Linked DNA regions of Callithrix jacchus. The protein of the gene in region 1 interacts with the protein of each later gene in a pairwise test. Links are inferred from orthologs where the notes say so. Each region holds a gene or a part of one and is shown in the gene's direction. Other genes may lie near its edges.

Region 1 (5,192 bases):
CTTGGGCCCCTCCTACCCAACTCCTATTCTCATCAAGTTCAAATGCACGAAATTACACAAATGATAGAGTCTGGTGAAGCTTCAAGAGGGTGAAAAACTGCTAGAACATTTCAGGGTGGTTCAGCACATTTGCTTAGAAGAGGTTCATTTGCATCATTCCCAGGATCCTCTGGAGCTCCTTGTTCAAAAAAGAAAGGAGGCTGGATGTGGTGGCTTACATCTGTAATCTCAGCATGTTGAGAGGCCCAGGCAGGCAGATTGCCTGAGGTCAGGGGTTTGAGACTAGCCTGCCCAATATGGTGAAACCTCATCTCTACTAAAAATATAAAAATTAGCCTGGCTTGATGACTCACACCTGTAATCGCAGCTACTTGGGAGGTTGAGGCAGGAGAATCACTGAAACCCGGGAGGTGGAGGTTGCAGTGAGCCGAGATTGCATCATTGCACTCCAGTCTGGGCTACAAGAGTGAAAATCTGTCTCAAAAAAAAAGAAAAAAAGAAAGAAAGAAAAGAGAGGGAACGCTTTCCACAGTGGTTCGTAAGGGCGTCTGTTTCTCTTGACACTGCATTGACGTTGCACTTTGGGAAAACCACATTGTAGTGTAGGTGGTCCGTGAGCAGTCAGACTCCTTTCCCAAAGCTCTCTATTCCCTCCATGTCTGATCTAGTCCTGTTGGAGTGGTCTGGCTTTATGTGATGACTTCAGCATGTTTAGGTGGTATCAACGTATTTCTACTTTCTCCCTTGGCTCCTGTAGGATAAGAGTGGACCAATTTGCTTGTTAAACCCAACTCTCACCCTGCATTTGCCTTGGAGTTGTTCTGACTACAAGGGAAAAGGGAAAGGATGAACTGGATGAGGTATGGACAGAAAAACCACTAAACCACGATTGGTCAAACATTCCCCCGCTTGAACACCCAGATGAGAACCCATGTCTTAAGAGAACGACAGCCTTATCTATGACTATTTGCTAAGTTCTCTATGATTGTTTTCTCCATGTGAGAAATAACTATAGGTTAGAAAACTAAGATCTCAACAATTAAAGGAAAAAAGAACCAACCAACCAACCCAGAAACAGGGAGCTCTCTTTGCCCTTTGAAGGACTCTGTCAAGTCCCTGGAAATATACTAACAGATAACAGCAGGTTAGAGCCCAGAGGGATTTCAAAGTCATCGTTTCATGAGAAAACTGAGGCTGTAACTGATTTGCATAAGGTGACAAGGCTGGTTAGTGGTGAACAGGGACCAGGTTAATAGCTGAGTCTGGTCCAGTATTCCTCTCCCTACTTAGGTGACCCCAAATCCTGTATTTCTCAAGGAGATTTTGATTTCAAGCACTTTCCACTATCAAGAGTATTTGCATCTGACAGTTGCCCCACCCCAACTTGGGGCTTAGCCGGAGTTATGGTCCTGCCAACCACAGATCATTGAGCATCTGAGGTGGCCATCTGTCTCAGCTAAGAGCTTACTCTTCCATTTCCTTTTTAAGACCTGATTTGAGATAGTCAGTACCTCAGGCATTGTAGAAATTGCAATTATTCTTAAAAGAAAAAGTGTAAAATTTGTATTAATATTTAATTCCTACAATTTGAAAGAACTTGAAACTGCAATTAGATGGCAGTGCCCATCTGCTTCCAGGGGGCTCACATGCTCTTCCATCCCTTGGAGGCTGCAGAGGGCCGCCATCACCTTCGGATGTGCTCCTTAACAACGTGCCCACAGTCTCTCAAGAGGGAGCTCCAGATGGTGAAGGAAACTCTGCAGGCCATGATCCTGCAGCTCCAGCCAGCAAAGGAGGCGGGGGAAAGAGAAGCTGCAGCTTCCTGCATGACAGCTGGTGTCCGGGAAGTGCAAGCCTGAGGAGTGACGGGATGGGGGAGGGAGGTGGGCCACCATGTCAACAGTTTGGACCCGGGGGTCTACTCTCCCTTCCCACTGCATAACTAATGTGCCTGAATCAATTATGGAGACACAGAGCCTTGATGTCTTTCAGTGGAAAGGTGGTTCATGTTCATTCTCATGAGTCAGAAACCGAGGAGTCTGCAAATTGGAATATGGAGAGGGAGACTGATTTGCTGAATTTGCTTCTAAATGTCATTAAAAATTTTCTTTGCCATGTCATTCATGGGAATGTCCTGCACAGGATTCAAGAATATTTTCATTTCAATCCCCAGTAGAGAGAAGCTGGGGTGAATTCTGGAAAAAAATATCTCTTTTTTCTACACCATTTGCCTTCTGCTGTAACTAAAACATTTCCTGATTCAAGATTCTATAAAAAGGAAACCAAGCATAAGACTCTGTCATCCTACCTGTTACACGTTCCTACAGGTGCACCACTAAGAGAGCTAATTAACCTCAGAGTCTGGAATTAACAGCTTTTCACCTTACTTCTCCTGTGATCTAATATTATCTTAGAAAAATTACTATGCAATTTCCAAAAGATATTTTAGTTAGGCAGCAGCCTGTCAGTGATATGCCACCTTTCAGTTTCCTTTTGTGGCAATGATTACATCTGAAGAAAGGATCCTCGAGAGTCTCTGTTTCATCAGGACATTCTGTAATTTACCTGTAGTGAGGCTGTGAATGGATCAGGAGACCCGAATGAAATGTTTGAGCCTGTTCTGTTTTCCCATGGAACATATTTCACTCAATGCCAGGCAGTGCAGCATTTAGGAAAGCAGTGCAGTACTCAGTAATACAGTACAGTACTCAGGCAGTGCAGTACTCAGGCAGTGCAGTACTCAGTAAGGCAGTACAGTACTCAGAAATGTGCAATATTCAGTAAGACAGTACAGTACTCAGGAATGCAGTGTAGCGCTCAGTGAGGCAGTACAATACTCAGTAACACAGTGCAGTACTCAGTAATACAGTACAGTACTCAGGCAATGCAGTACTCAGGCAGTGCAGTACTCAGTAAGGCAGTACAGTACTCAGAAATGTGCAATAGTAAGACAGTACAGTACTCAGGAATGCAGTGTAGCGCTCAGTGAGGCAGTACAATACTCAGTAACACAGTGCAGTACTCAGTAATACAGTACAGTATTCAGTAAGGCAGTGCAGTACTCAGTTACACAGTGCAATGCTCAATAAGGCAGTGCAGGGCTTAGTAAGGCCGTGCAGTACTCAGTAACACAGTGTAGTACTCAGTAGGACAGCACAGTTCTCAGTAACACAGTGCAGTACTCAGCCAATGTAGTACTCAGTAAATCAGTGCAGTATTCAATAATGCAAGGGCATTGCGGGCTCCTGCTGGGCTCTTCCTGCAGGCCAAGCTGGGACTCCTATTGAGACAGCTGCAAAACAGGCTGATTTCAATTAGGCAGCACTTCCCAAAGTGCACTTAGGAAGGTGGCCCCAAGAGGTGCTCTCTAACCAAAGGAGTCCCCCTCTCTGGTCAAGTACCTTTGGTAAATACACCATACCATCATATCTGCTTGGAGAGCCACAGGACACATTAGCATATTAGTCTGTGAGAGAAGTTATAATAAGGAAAGCCACTTGATTTTATCTAACCTCAAACTTTCCAAGTTTAATGGATCATGAATTTTTTTCATGTAACTCCTATTCATATCCCATAGATCTAGTATTGGTCAGCGCTGCACTCTCCGAGGAAGTCCTAGTCCAAACACTGACTTATATCATTTCAGAAACCACACTCAAACTTGTGCAGATTGGTAAATTTAATCCAGTAAATGTTCTGTTTGTGCTTCTGTCCTCATTGATATGTTCAGGGATAGTGAGGTTCCTGCCTTCACTAGGATCCATGGATACGAGGCCATTTTGGTCATTTCCTGAAGTCACTGGCATTTCCAGAAGGCATCTGGTGCTTTGCTGAGCCTTCCATACTGTGCAGCACTTCTGTCCTCAGTCGAGGAGATGGCCCTGCTTAAGCCAGCAATTGGCTGGGGTTCAGGAAACGAAGCAAAAGCACCATATGTGAATGTGCTGATTGTGTTCCCTGCGGCTTTATCGCAAGCAAAATACACTCTACATATTTTAATAATAAGCATAATTAGTTTGTTCCTGGACTTCATTTTTCAATGATGAACCAAATTTCTGAATTATTTATAATTGTGTCTAAAGAAAATTATGAACTAGTCGCGTGGCACTTGGAATCCTTGAATTAATGCCAGTGAAGCAAAACTTGAGAAGAGTCAGGATTGACCACGTTGCCAATAACAAATTTCTACTTTGACATATGTCTTTTAAAAAGCCTCCCAGACACCAGACATGTTAACAGTCACTAGCCCAAGTGTTTTGTATTACTTAGACACCTCATGAAGTAATTCTGTGAGGTCATGGTGTATTTGAAAATTCTGCAAGTTAATAACTGCTTTGAATTATTTGAACCCCAAATAAGCGTTCTTTGGTACCTCCAGTGGATAGTGTATTCATTTCCCTGCAGCAAATTTTGAAGTATTTGAGCAGGTGAGTAATGTTTCTTTTTTTTGAGATGGAGTTTTCGCTCTTGTTACCCAGGCTGGAGTGCAATGGTGCGATCTCGGCTCACCACAACCTCCGCCTCCTGGGTTCAGGCAATTCTCCTTCCTCAGCCTCCCGAGTAGCTGGGATTACAGGCACACGCCACCATGCCCAGTAATTTTTTGTATTTTTAGTAGAGATGGGGTTTTACCATATTGACCTGGATGGTCTTGATCTCTTGACCTCGTGATCCACCCGCCTCAGCCTCCCAAAGTGCTGGGATTACAGGCGTGAGCCACTGCGCCCGGCCTAATGTTTCAACCCCATGCTGTAACTCATCTGTTGTCTTTGCTTGGTCTTAAAGTGTCATTCAGAAAGCCTGCTAAGAGCCAGAGTGCTTCTTCTGGCTACACAACCGTCTCAGGACAACCCCACTGCCTTAAGCCACTGCCTTAAGCCCTGGAAGACCCAGGACTGTGTATCCCCAACCATAGTATAAGGCCGTTTTTGTCAGGGCAACATAAAAATATCTGAGAGAGATTAGGACTTAGATTTAAAAGCATTAAAACAACAACAAAAATTTGTGTTGGAGATAGCTAAGACCACAAGCAAAAGCACATATTGAAGATGATGAGTTAGAGTCTGATTTGACTGGGATGTGGTGTGAGAGAGTAAGTGAGATATTCTACTGCCCGCCTCGCTGGAATGCTGGCTTTCAAATGGCCACCACTTTTTCTTTCACCTGCATTAGTTAGGACATGCTGTCTAGCA
Region 2 (5,806 bases), on another chromosome or scaffold:
TTAGATTTGAACCCACTTAAAGAGGCTGCTTGAGGAACTTGCAACACGGCCATCAAAAGTGGGAAGATCAAATTGGGGAGGAGATGAAAAGCAATCGCAGTCCCTACTCTGTCCTGCAGGGACTCTCTGCAGCTCCGCTCTGGAGACTCACAGCATTACCTCTCGGACTAATGCAAGGCTGAAGCCTAAACAACTCAGCTGATCTTTCTCTGAGCTTTCTGTCTTTCTGTTCACTCTGCTGGGGTAGAGTAGTGGTGGTGGAGGGTCGGGGGAGGAGGATAGTGGTGGAATGGCAATAATTACATTTTATTTATTAAAGTTTTACCTTGCAGCTCATGCTGGACTAGAGCAAATAGAGAGTAGTGAGGTCAGTAAGGGGCTTCCTTCAAGCAGAGTGGATGATGACAGGGCAGCTCGGCTGCAGGAAAGCAGGCTGTGTCACTGCAGGGCTGGCAGAAAGCAGAGATGGGGAGAGGTCTGCCTTCCCTCCCTTCCTGCAGAAAATTGCTCCGACAGCGCCTCCTTTTGGATAAGGCACAAAAGACCTTTCTTAGAGTTGCTGGTGTTCTGGGGCAAGGGATGAAACATTCCGGAGAAGCATACAAGCTAATATTAGCCATTAGCCAGACGTCCATAGTCCCCTAACAAAAAGGATAGGCTGTGACAATGAGGGAGGCAAGAGCTTGGGGCCCTGACCCAAGCCAGATCGAAGTCTACCTTGGGGCCTAGGGCAGGCAAGAAGCTGCCTGCAGACAGGAGAAGGAGAGAATGTAAAAGACCACGGTGGAGAAAGGGGCCGGCCCCAGGATTTCTAGGCTCCCACTCCATCCATTTCAACAGACTCATATGTATTTTTTTAGGATTTGCAATAAAGCAAGCCTGTCTTAACAGTCATCATTGCTACATGAGGTCATGCATAGCACCTACTAGTGGTGGTTTAGGCAATATCTGTCACGATGCCCTCAATGGCCAAGCCAGCTGGGCTCTGACCTGGCTGAGCCAGAGCAGGTCCTCTCATGTCTGTCGGATGTGGAGGCATCCCTGTCAACAGTCATGGGAACCCACAGGGTTCTTGGGCTAGAAGCATTTTGAAAACCACCGTCTGGCAGTTTGCAAAGCTTCATCACATCCATTATCTCAGCCCATCTTCTCAGTAAACTTCTGGGAGTGTAATAGGTGAACAAAATATGGTATGGAATGATCAAGACTTGCTCAGGGTCACACAGCCAGCAACTGGCCACAGTCTTTTTACTCAAAATTCTGGGGCCCTGTGCCCTGTCCATGGGCTCCTGGCTAAATGCTGCCTTCTAGCTACTGCACCATCTTGAACATGAGGGGATGGGAGCTGAGGGAAGCTGGCATGGTGAGCTCGGGCTGCCATGGGTGGATGGGGGGGGGTCTCTCTCTCTCTCTCTGAGTCCTTCGGAGTGCTCTCCTCCTGATGAACTCTCAGATATCATAACATCCTCAGGAATTATGTAGGCAGAAGGAGATTTTTCTTGCCTGTTAAAATTGCCACTTTTTTAAAAAACAAAATTTTCTGATTATAATACAGAGAAGAGAGTAGCAGTCCCTCTATTCTGGGATGAGCACTGTGAACATTCTGGTACATAATCTCCAAGTAATTTTTTGTGAGCAAGGATTAAAAAAAATACTGAACTGCCTGGGTTCAGACTTGGGCTATGCTGTTACTTAGCTGTGTGACCTGGGGCAAATTATTAACCAGTCTGAGCTTCAGTTTCCTCACGTGTGATATGAGCATAAAGGTGGATCCTACCTTAGAAATGTGAGAATTAAATGAATTATTAGGGGACAGGGTTTGGATTGGTGCTCAGTGTTAGCTCTTATTGCTACTATTGTCATTTTTAGTTTTGAGTGCTTACTCTGTGTCAGGGGTCAGGCCAGGCTTTTCACAGGGACTGTATCGTTTAATGCACTTACCAACTCCCTGAGGTCCATATTATAATTATCTGCTGTTTGCAAATGAGGATTCTGGAGGCTCAGAGGGGTGAGGGAACTTGCATAAGGTCACGTAGCAAGGAAGTGACAAGGCTAGGATTTGAATCTGTGTCTGTCTGACTCCAGGGCCTGCCCTCTTTATCAGTAGTCTGACCTGCCCTTATTAAATCTATTTCCTGTGCAAGGCAGTATGCAGGGGATAGCCACATTGGTTCTCATGTGTTATAAGACACCCTGAGGACTTAATCTCCATCCCTGCTGCGAGGCTTCTGGGGAACCTCCCTAAGAAGGGAAGCTGCTTAACAGACAGGAAGGACCTGGCTCCAGGCCTCCAGACGCTGCTGACCCCAGCTCCCTCTGTCCCCAGGACATCGAGAAGACCATGAGCACAGCTCTGCACGAGTTGCGGGAACTCGAGAGGCAGAACACGGTCAAGCAGGCGCCAGATGTGGTGCTGGACACCCTGGAGCCCCTGAAGAATCCCCCAGGCCCCATCAGCTCGGAGCCCGCCAGTCCCCTTCACACCATCGTCATCCGCGACCCTGATGCCGCCATGCGCCGCAGCAGCAGCTCCTCCACCGAGATGATGACCACCTTCAAGCCAGCCCTGTCCGCCCGCCTGGCGGGCGCCCAGCTGCGCCCACCCCCCATGCGGCCCGTGCGGCCGGTGGTCCAGCACCGGTCCAGCAGCAGCAGCAGCTCAGGCGTGGGCAGCCCAGCCGTGACGCCCACCGAGAAGATGTTCCCCAACAGCTCAGCGGACAAGTCAGGCACCATGTGACCTGCAGGATGGGCCACCCTGTCATGGCCCACTGTGGCTCGCCACGGCCCAGGGTGGCCTCGGTGGCTTCCACGTGCTTCCCAGTGACCCTGGCCTTGGAGGGCAGAGGTCAGCCTGGGAGGATGTGTCTGTGCAGAGCTGAGGTAGGCGCTGGCTGCAGTTCACGTCCAGCCGTGGGAATCCCACAGACCTCTCGCGTGTCCGCAGACGTCCAGAGGAGTGCCGGAACTCCGGCAGCCCCAACCACAGCATCTCCTAACATCGAGGTGACATGCGACGTGGCTTCTCCCGCATATCGTCACTGGAAACTTCCTCTCTCGACATTCTGTCTACATACCTATATGTGTGTGTATATCGATGTGTGCATATATACACATGTATATGTATGTATGTGTCTGTAGGTGTGTGTATATATATATATATTTATGCATCTATATACATATACTAGATCTGGACACACACATACTAAGTGTATATAGTATCTCCTTTTTCTTTTTATGAAACTTAGATTTACCTCAGACCCATGCCACCAAACATCTCCCACTGAGTTATTTGGTGGGATTTGCAGGGACTTTTCTGGGAGAACTTAGAGGCCCATAGTAACTGCGAATGAAGCAATATATCACTAACCTGCAGAAAAACACAAACAAAAACAGTCTCCCACTGTCTCCAGAAGTCGTGGCCTTCCAGAACAGTCTGCCCCTCAAGGAAGGGTGGGGCAGGCAGTACCCCTAAGCAGGCTGCTCCCAGAGGTGGGGAACCCTTCATAGAAAATCCCCACCCCTGTCCACCCCAGAGACCCTGCCCTTCCACCCGGAGGCCAAAGGCCAACTGTATCCCCGAAGGCACGGGAGAAAGTTGGCGAGAAGACCCCTGACCACCACATCCTTGTGTTTGTGTGTAGAGGCAGGGGATAGTGAGAACCTCAGCCCCATTGTAGCACAGTATTACATGTGGTTGGGAAAAAGGGAAAAATAAAAATACAGTGGTGTGAAATACTTCAAAACCTAGAAACGCTGTAGGAATAAATCTGTGGTAACTATAGAGGTTTAACTTATATCATTTTCAAAATATTTAATTTTTTCTTTTCCTGGTTCTACTAATTATACTGTGTCAGATTTGGAACTAAACAGGCAAGGAGGCTTTGAGTCACATCGTTTTCATTTTAAATCAGGCTGTGACGCACTATGGCTGGTGCCGTCTTGCATGAAACGCATGAGCCGTGAGCGCCCAGTTCAGACTGGGGCCAGGGAGGGACAGTCCTTGGCACTTTCTGTCCTAAAGGACACTGTCAGTTGAGTTAAAACAAGTGGCATAGCTTCCCTTCCCTTCCCCTTCACCCACTCCCTCCAGAACATTTAGCGTAGATGAAAATGTGGTGATAGGAATGGGTGCATGATCTTCGTGTGTGACAGCAAGGCCTTTGCCTCTTGGCTGAGCGAAGCCCTTCTGGGTCGCTCTCCTTTGATTTCTTTGTACCTCCTCTTCTGATCAGTTCCAGTGATGAGCTGTTTCTGGATAATGAAATGGCACAGGGTGAATCTGTGTGTCCTGTGGGCCACTGTTACCCCCTCCTGCCAGACCCAGAGGCTCTTCCCTATTCTTCCCAAGCTTCCTCTCTCTCTCGGCCACTGAAGTTTGGAATCAAAAGGCCCAGAGTCTGAGTCCCAGCCCTGAGCACTTAGGAGCCTTGTGACTTAGGGTTTGGCATTCCACCTCATTGAGCCTGGCTTTTCTGCTCATAAAATAGGATAATAAAGGTAAAATGGCAGTGAGCAAGCTGTGTACACTGGAAAGCACTAAATCAATACAATGCTCTTGTGATTATCATTAGTAAGGTAAGTGTTAAGATGAGAACCCTCCAGCCCTTCTTTTTGAAACCTCTTAATGGCATTTCAGAAGTGAGCAGTGGAATTTTCCTACCATCTTAATAAGAGCCCTGGATTCCATCATTAGCCATTCTACCTTGTCTGAAGGACTGGACTTGTCACCCCACAGTGAAAAGGAGCATCAGGAAAGGAACAAAGAAAGGATCTCAGGGAGAGGCCAGTGTCAAACTTGACTTCCCTTGTTTGGCCTAGAATGAACCCTTCTCTTTAACTCCTGGATACGAAAGGCCCTCTGCCTTGGAGCACAGAAAGATATTGCCATTTTACCGCTTCAGAGAGTAAGGCCTTGGGCTGTGCTTTGACCTGCCCAAGATTTGACAACTGGCTAAGAGCAGAGGCTGTGTCAGGCTCTTAAAGTCATGTGTTTGCATGCTCGACGCTATGCTAGCCAGTCAGGACACAAGACTTCTGATTTCTACCAGATCCTAAATCCAGTAGCCTCCCAGGCAAAATATAGCAATCTCTGCCACAGCTATCAGATGAAAGGCAACAATCGGAGTAGACAAATCTGTTGCCTGATATACATAACACCAATCAGACCATGTGGATTTTTCTCTGAATTGACTGCTTTTGTTTTTTTCTTACTGAAAATGGATCTGCCTTTCACTGAATTTTCTGAAGGCAGAGGCTTAGCTGTTTTCTTCAAGCACCTATTTTTTTTCCATTGGGAAATGGCTGATGAGTTCACATTTAGGGATGCGCACACACAGATGGCAGACGTCTCCCCACTCATCCAGGCCCAAATCTGAGCCCTGATGCAGCCCAAGTGGGAAAATACTTCCCCGCCCCCTCCCCTGTTCCCATTTCCTCATCTGGCACTATGCATGTCTCAGTCACCCTCCACAGCACTCAGTCCCATCAACGTTCACTGAACATTGGCTTTCTCTTTCTGACTCCTGCCTGTTTTAGTCCACTATATATTGCTGTATTTGCTTAAATGCTGGAAAGTAACTGTTAAAATGTGAAATTGTAATTTTTAAAAAGGCTACAATTAAATTTTAGCCAATGCCACTCACCAAATCTTTGCACCTAGTAGATAGATCAATGTAAAAACAAATACCAGAAACCTAACTGTACAGTGCGTGTGGGGGAAATGTAGTAACCTAGTTAGTAGTCTTCAATATAACCAGTTGTACAAGGGGAAGTGGTGTGTACCTACTTGTTCATCACCATTATT
Region 3 (6,395 bases), on another chromosome or scaffold:
TACAAGTGAAATAAGTAGTAAATAGTTTCTTGTCATTGGTTCACACACATCACTGTTGTTTCATACTTCCTTTTCACAAATCCTAGCATAGGGTCTCTCACAGGATAGGCATTATCTTCTTTATTGAATGAAGAAGGAAACAGACTCAAGGCGATTTGTCCATGTAAGTGGGATTTAGATATATGGAAATGTTTATGGGAGACAAGCTATTACTTTGTTTCTCTTTAGTTTGGATCTTTTTTCTCTCATAGGGAGATGAAAGATGCACGTGTATTTATCTTATTTTCTTTTACTAGAAAATAAGCTCCCAAAGGGCAGGGATCTTTCTTTTTTGCCTTTGCCCACTGATGTTTCTCAAAGACCTAGAATAGTGCTTTGCACAGAGTAGGTGCCCAGTAAATGTATTGAATTGGGTGATCCAACAAAAACAAATGCCATAAAGAAAATGTCCCAGGCTGGACATGGTGGCTTATGTGTGTAACCCTAGTGCTTTGGAATACCAAGGCAGGAGGATCACTTGAGCTTCGGAGTTTGAGACTAGCCTGGAAAACATAGTGAGACCTTGTCTCTACAAAAAAATTAAAAAAGAAAAATTATCCAGGGGTAGTGTTGTACGCCTGTAGTTCTAGCTACTTGAGAGGTTGAGGCGAGAGGATTGCTTGAGCCTAGGAGTTCCAGATTACACTGAGCTATGATTGCACCACTGCACTCCAGCCTTGGCAACAGAGTGAGACTTCATGTTGAAAAGAGAGAGAAAAAAAGAAGATGTCCTAGCAACTGAGCATAGGGTATGACTTTAGGATTATCTATTTTTGTGCAGTTTATATTTATTTGGTATACAGTCTGATCTCTGCTGTAAGGTTAGGATAATTGTGAGTGGGCTCCAGGGTGCCATAATTAGCAGTCGTACTCAGACATAATTAGCAATCTTGATTCTCTAAATCGTGTGTGTGTGTGTGTTGGGGAGTGTGAAAAATAGATATATTTGGAACTCATAGATTCCTTAGCCAAGAGTAGGTCTTCTGAGCCCTACTTAAAAAAAGAATATGGGTTTAAATCTGTTGTCTGTCAGCTTCTAGGTAGAATTTTTAAAAAGATGTACTGATGGTAAGTTGGGTGAGAAATTTTTAAAAAGATGTACTGATGTCTGGAGCCATACCTTAAAAGGATTTCTTAGAAATGGATTGAGTTTTTGGGTTGGAGAAACAGGGCAAAGTTAGGCAGTACTTTTGTCACTTTGAGACATTTCTCTGTTCCTGTGCCTTGATAAAGAAACTCAGGTTCTATGTAATATGTCACTTTTCTAGTACATTGTTCTTTAAGTGATGATTCTTACTTTCTCTTCTAGAGCTAAAGTTGCAGACAAGATCCAGCTGATCAATAATATGCTGGACAAAGTCAATGAGATGATTATTGGTGGTGGAATGGCTTTTACCTTTCTTAAGGTGCTCAACAACATGGAGGTAGGAAACCAATGCCAAGTGGATGTGAAATAACTCTCCATGATAATAGCAGGTTGTATAAATGTAAAAAGAAAATGATCTTTTGACATGAGCCCTGAAACCCCCCCCCTTTCTTTCTGAGACTGAGTTTCGCTCTTGTTACCCAGGCTGGAGTGCAATGGCGCGATCTAAAACTCCCATTTTTATTTATTTTGGCAAGTTTTTCTTTTGTCTTTCCCTTGTTCCTTTATATTGCATTGTGTGTGGTTCCTGTCTGCTTTGCAAGGCAGTCTTGTTCTTAGTATAGATGCTGACCTTCATCATTTTGGCTTCCCTGTGTAGATCGGTACTTCTCTGTTTGATGAAGAGGGAGCCAAGATTGTCAAAGACCTAATGTCCAAAGCTGAGAAGAATGGTGTGAAGATTACCTTGCCTGTTGACTTCGTCACTGCTGACAAGTTTGATGAGAATGCCAAGACTGGCCAAGCCACTGTGGCTTCTGGCATACCTGCTGGCTGGATGGTGAGTCACTTGAGTGGGTTGGTAGTGTGAGTGAATAGAAACTTTGTGGTGTCATTCATTCATTGATTCAGCCAATCAACAAGCATTTTAAAACAATCTCTATAGGAGATCTCTGTCAGAGAGTGTGCCGCATGTTGCAGTGAGTCCCTTATTATGGGAGAATCCATAGGAGAAAAGCAGTGCTATTGGACTACTGGTGTCTTCATCAGTAATGTTGCAAAACCTTTTTTTTTTTTGAGATGGAGTCTCGCTCAGTTGCCAGGCTGGAGTGCAGTGGAGTGATCTCAGCTCACTGCAACCTCTGCCTCCCGGGTTCAAGCGATTCTCCTGCCTCAGCCTCTCGAGTAGCTGGGACTACAGGCGCGTGCCACCATGCCCAGCTAATTTTAATATTTTTAGTGGAGATGGGGTTTCACCATGTTGACCAGGATGATCTCGATCTCTTGACCTCGTGATTTACCTGCCTCGCCCTCCCAAAGTGCTGGGAGTACAGGCGTGAGCAACTGTGCCCGGCCCATTTTTTGTTTTTTCTGTTTTTTTACTTCTTCTGTTTAGTGTGTATAAAGTACTTACTGTGTGCTGGAGATAGTGTTATGCACTTTCGTGGTTTGGTTTGCTTTGGATTATTTTGCTACCTAGAAACTTATATAAGAAAATTTCTTGGCCGGGTGTGGTGGCTCACGCCTGTAATCCCAGCACTTTGGGAGGCCGAGGCAGGTAGATTACCTGAGGTCCGGAGTTCGAGACCAGTCTGACCAACATGGTGAAACCCTGTCTCAAAAAGAAAAAAAACTTTCTCATATGAAAAGATTAAGAAGTATACTGATTACAAGCAGGGAGGAATATATGTGTATATACTAATATAGTTGATTTTAGGGTACTCTGAATATCATTTTTATAGCTATATAAAATTGTAACATGTTTTTACATGCTAGTTTGCTTAGTTTTTCTTTTGTCAGGCATTCAGGTATTATTTAGTTCAGTGTTTCTCCAAGTGTGTTCCTAAGACCAGCAGTATCAGTATCATTTTTGGAACTTGTTAAAAATGCAAGTTCTTAGGCCCCACCCCAGACCTACTGAATCAGAAATTGGGGGTGGGGCTGAGCAGTCTTTTTGAATAAGCCCTTCTGGTGATTCTCATGCATGGCAGAATTTGAGTACGACTGATTTAGTTCACTGTCTGTCATTCCCAACACTATTGACATCTGTTTTATGAGTGACTGCTGAATCGTAAGGTTGTTTAAAGCAGCCTTGGCCACTAGATGCCAGTAGCAACCTCCCAAGTTGCAACAACAAAAATATCTCTAGACATTGCCACATGTCTATCCATTGTGGAAGGGCAGAACTGACCCTGGTTGAAAACCATTGATCTAGTCTTCGCTAACATAAATAGTATGGCTAAGAATGTCTTTATTAAATAACTTTTGAGGTTTTCCTTTAGACTTGCTCTTCCATACAGTAGAATTTTTGAGTACAAAGGGCATGAACAGGTTTATAATTTTAAAGACTGAAGGGTAACATTTGGTTCTAGAAGAAACTCTGGTGTGCAGCCTTGAGTTCTGGTCTTGGTAGAGGTGGTGTTTCAGTAGCTTTTCTTGATAGCTCATCTTCTCTTTCAACTCTGCCCCTCAGGGCTTGGACTGTGGTCCTGAAAGCAGCAAGAAGTATGCTGAGGCTGTCACTCGGGCTAAGCAGATTGTGTGGAATGGTCCTGTGGGGGTATTTGAATGGGAAGCTTTTGCCCGGGGAACCAAAGCCCTCATGGATGAGGTGGTGAAAGCCACTTCTAGGGGCTGCATCACCATCATAGGTAAGTGGTCCTATACAAAGGTAATACTAATATGAGCTGGCAGAATTCTGATCAGAGGAAGGTAGAATAGAGAACTTCTTCTGTCTCTTCATTCTGGGTAAATCTTAAGAGCTAAACAGGTAGATAATTTACCTCTTGGTAAGATAGAGTTGGGGGTCTATCAGCTATCTTTTGGGTTAGAGAGCACACTGCCTTACAGTTTTGGTGCCAAACATTTTTTTTTTCTTTTCTCTTTTTACCTGGCTTTCATTCAACAGGTGGTGGAGACACTGCCACTTGCTGTGCCAAATGGAACACGGAGGATAAGGTCAGCCATGTGAGCACTGGGGGTGGTGCCAGTTTAGAGCTCCTGGAAGGTGAGGTTCTTTTGTTTTTTGGCTTGCTTGGGAGAAGGGTAGGACTGTGCAGTGAGAGGTGGGTAAAATGGAGTAGAGAAAGTTGGTAGGTTCTGTTGTCATTAGCAGTCATTACTAGCTGGGCAGTACAGAGGAACTTCAGATAAAGCTCCTGGCATCCATTGAGGTGGGGAGGGACAGACAGAAACTTGTTCTGAGAGCTATGGTCTAGTAGACCTGGAATCCAAAATGCAAAAGTTCCTCAACTCCTGGCCATATATCCTAAAAAAGAGCTGGCATGTTATTGGGAAGATAAATGGGGGAGATCTGGCTTACTGGGCCCTATAGTAATGCTGTTTGTGTATGTGTGCTCTCTCAAAAACAGGTAAAGTCCTTCCTGGGGTGGATGCTCTCAGCAATATTTAGTACTTTCCTGCCTTTTAGTTCCTGTGCACAGCCCCCAAGTCAACTTAGCATTTTCTGCATCTCCACTTGGCATTAGCCAAAACCTTCCATGTCGATTCAGCTAGTGGCCAAGAGATGCAGTGACAGGAACCCTTAAACAGTTGCACAGCATCTCAGCTCATCTTTACTGCACCCTGGATATGCCTACATTCTTCAAGATCCCATTTGAATTTCTTAGTGACTAAACCATTGTGCATTCTAGAGTGCATATATTTATATTTTGCCTGTTAGTGAGCTGTGTTAGCTTAGTTTTGATGTAGCTTATTCTTACTAGCTTTGTTACTGTTTCACTACTCAGCATGGAAACAAGATGAAATTGCCTTTGTAGGCAGGGAGGTGAAATTGATGATCCATTAAATAAACAATAAAAGTGTCCATTGAAACCGTGATTTTTTTTTCCTGTCATACTTTGTTAGGAAGGGTGAGAATAGAATCTCGAGGAATGGATCAGATATCTACATTGCTGAATGCAAGAAGTGGGGCAGCAGCAGTGGAGAGATGGGACAATTAGATAAATGTTTATTCTTTATCAAGGGCCTACTTTGTGGCAGACATTGTTTTAGTGCTTTTATTCTAACTTACTTTTATTAGTTATACATGGTCATCCTTTAAAAAGTCAAGGCTTATAACAAAAAAGCCCCAGCCCATTCTTCCCATTCAAGATTCCCACTCCCCAGAGGTGACCACTTTCAACTCTTGAGTTTTTCTGGTATATACCTCTAGGTTTCTAAGTAATATGCTTATATTGTTCACTTCTTTTTTTTTCTTTTTCTTTTAAAGAAATCTGTTAATTTCATACCATGGAAGAAGTCTCTGTTCCACATATATTTCCACTTCTTCATTCTCTCATTATAGTTTTGTAACAATTTTAGATCAGAAGTCTATATAACTAATACAGCTGAGCTATGCAGTATGCTATGATTAAATTTACTTATGTAACTTTTATTTTTTTTGGAGTTAACAGAGTTTAAAAAAAATTCTTTTCTATGTATACCTATCAGTGATTCATTCCCAAATCTTCCAGAAGCATGTGTCAATATATTAAAACATACTGAATAATCCTTGTCAGAGCTATCCCTGCAGGAGTCCTTGGTGCTCTTTTTTCCATTTGTACTTGATGCCCTTTAGGTAAGTTGTACAGCTGTTGCTCTGGGATTTCCTATAACCTTCTTGGGGATTCCTTTTACCTCCTGTGTTAGACTCCTGATCTAAATTCCCCCTTTTCCTTCTTTCTTGGTCTACTTTTTGTAGAACACAAGACTCTACTAGCTTCCTGAGAAAGGGTGCCTGGGAGGCAAAATCTCTAAGATCTTGTAAGTCTGAAAATGTCTTTATTCAACCCTTATACTTGATTCCTAGTTTGGCTATATATAGAATTTTAGCCTGGGTATCACTTTTTGAGACTTGAAGCCATTGTTTCATTGTCACTGTCGAGAATCTAATGGCCATTTGGATTCTTTCATCATCCTTATAATTTTACCTTCCTATTTCTTTCCTGTCCTTTTAATGGAGTTTTGGGAGAGAGCAGAGGTAAACATCATTTGAAAAAGCTATGTCTGACCAGAAATTCTGTGCTGGGCATTTTACATGCAAGATACATATTTTACCTTTAGATATGAAGAAATAAACTTTGGACAGGATCACAGAGCTAAGTAACAGCAGGGATTCAAGTCCAGGTTTGTCTGGTTCCAATGGCTGATGCTTTTCCAATGTGCCTCCCTCCCTGACATGATGCTTCTAGACTATATCTTTTTTGTTTAACTCTGGATAGAATAGCAAAAGATAATTTTGGTTGCTCTAAACAAAACTTTGAAAGGTGAA

What was found.
Region 2: the proteins of DISC1 (region 1) and SRGAP3 interact in a two-hybrid assay, tested with the Homo sapiens proteins (2 studies listed by BioGRID and IntAct). The link is inferred for Callithrix jacchus from reciprocal best matches to the Homo sapiens genes DISC1 and SRGAP3.
Region 3: the proteins of DISC1 (region 1) and PGK1 interact in a two-hybrid assay, tested with the Homo sapiens proteins (2 studies listed by BioGRID and IntAct). The link is inferred for Callithrix jacchus from reciprocal best matches to the Homo sapiens genes DISC1 and PGK1.

The regions. Positions count from the first base shown.
Region 1 is NC_133520.1:52,905,414-52,910,605, reverse strand, and holds part of DISC1 (disrupted in schizophrenia 1 protein), read left to right. Parts: intron 1-1,720; coding exon 1,721-1,859; 3' UTR 1,860-5,192. UniProt on the Homo sapiens protein: Involved in the regulation of multiple aspects of embryonic and adult neurogenesis. Required for neural progenitor proliferation in the ventrical/subventrical zone during embryonic brain development and in the adult dentate gyrus of the hippocampus.
Region 2 is NC_133516.1:66,189,790-66,195,595, reverse strand, and holds part of SRGAP3 (SLIT-ROBO Rho GTPase-activating protein 3), read left to right. Parts: intron 1-2,326; coding exon 2,327-2,740; 3' UTR 2,741-5,806. UniProt on the Homo sapiens protein: GTPase-activating protein for RAC1 and perhaps Cdc42, but not for RhoA small GTPase. May attenuate RAC1 signaling in neurons.
Region 3 is NC_133524.1:75,879,892-75,886,286, forward strand, and holds the end of PGK1 (phosphoglycerate kinase 1), read left to right. Parts: intron 1-1,348; coding exon 1,349-1,463; intron 1,464-1,784; coding exon 1,785-1,964; intron 1,965-3,596; coding exon 3,597-3,774; intron 3,775-4,031; coding exon 4,032-4,130; intron 4,131-4,494; coding exon 4,495-4,535; 3' UTR 4,536-4,963; downstream 4,964-6,395. UniProt on the Homo sapiens protein: Catalyzes one of the two ATP producing reactions in the glycolytic pathway via the reversible conversion of 1,3-diphosphoglycerate to 3-phosphoglycerate.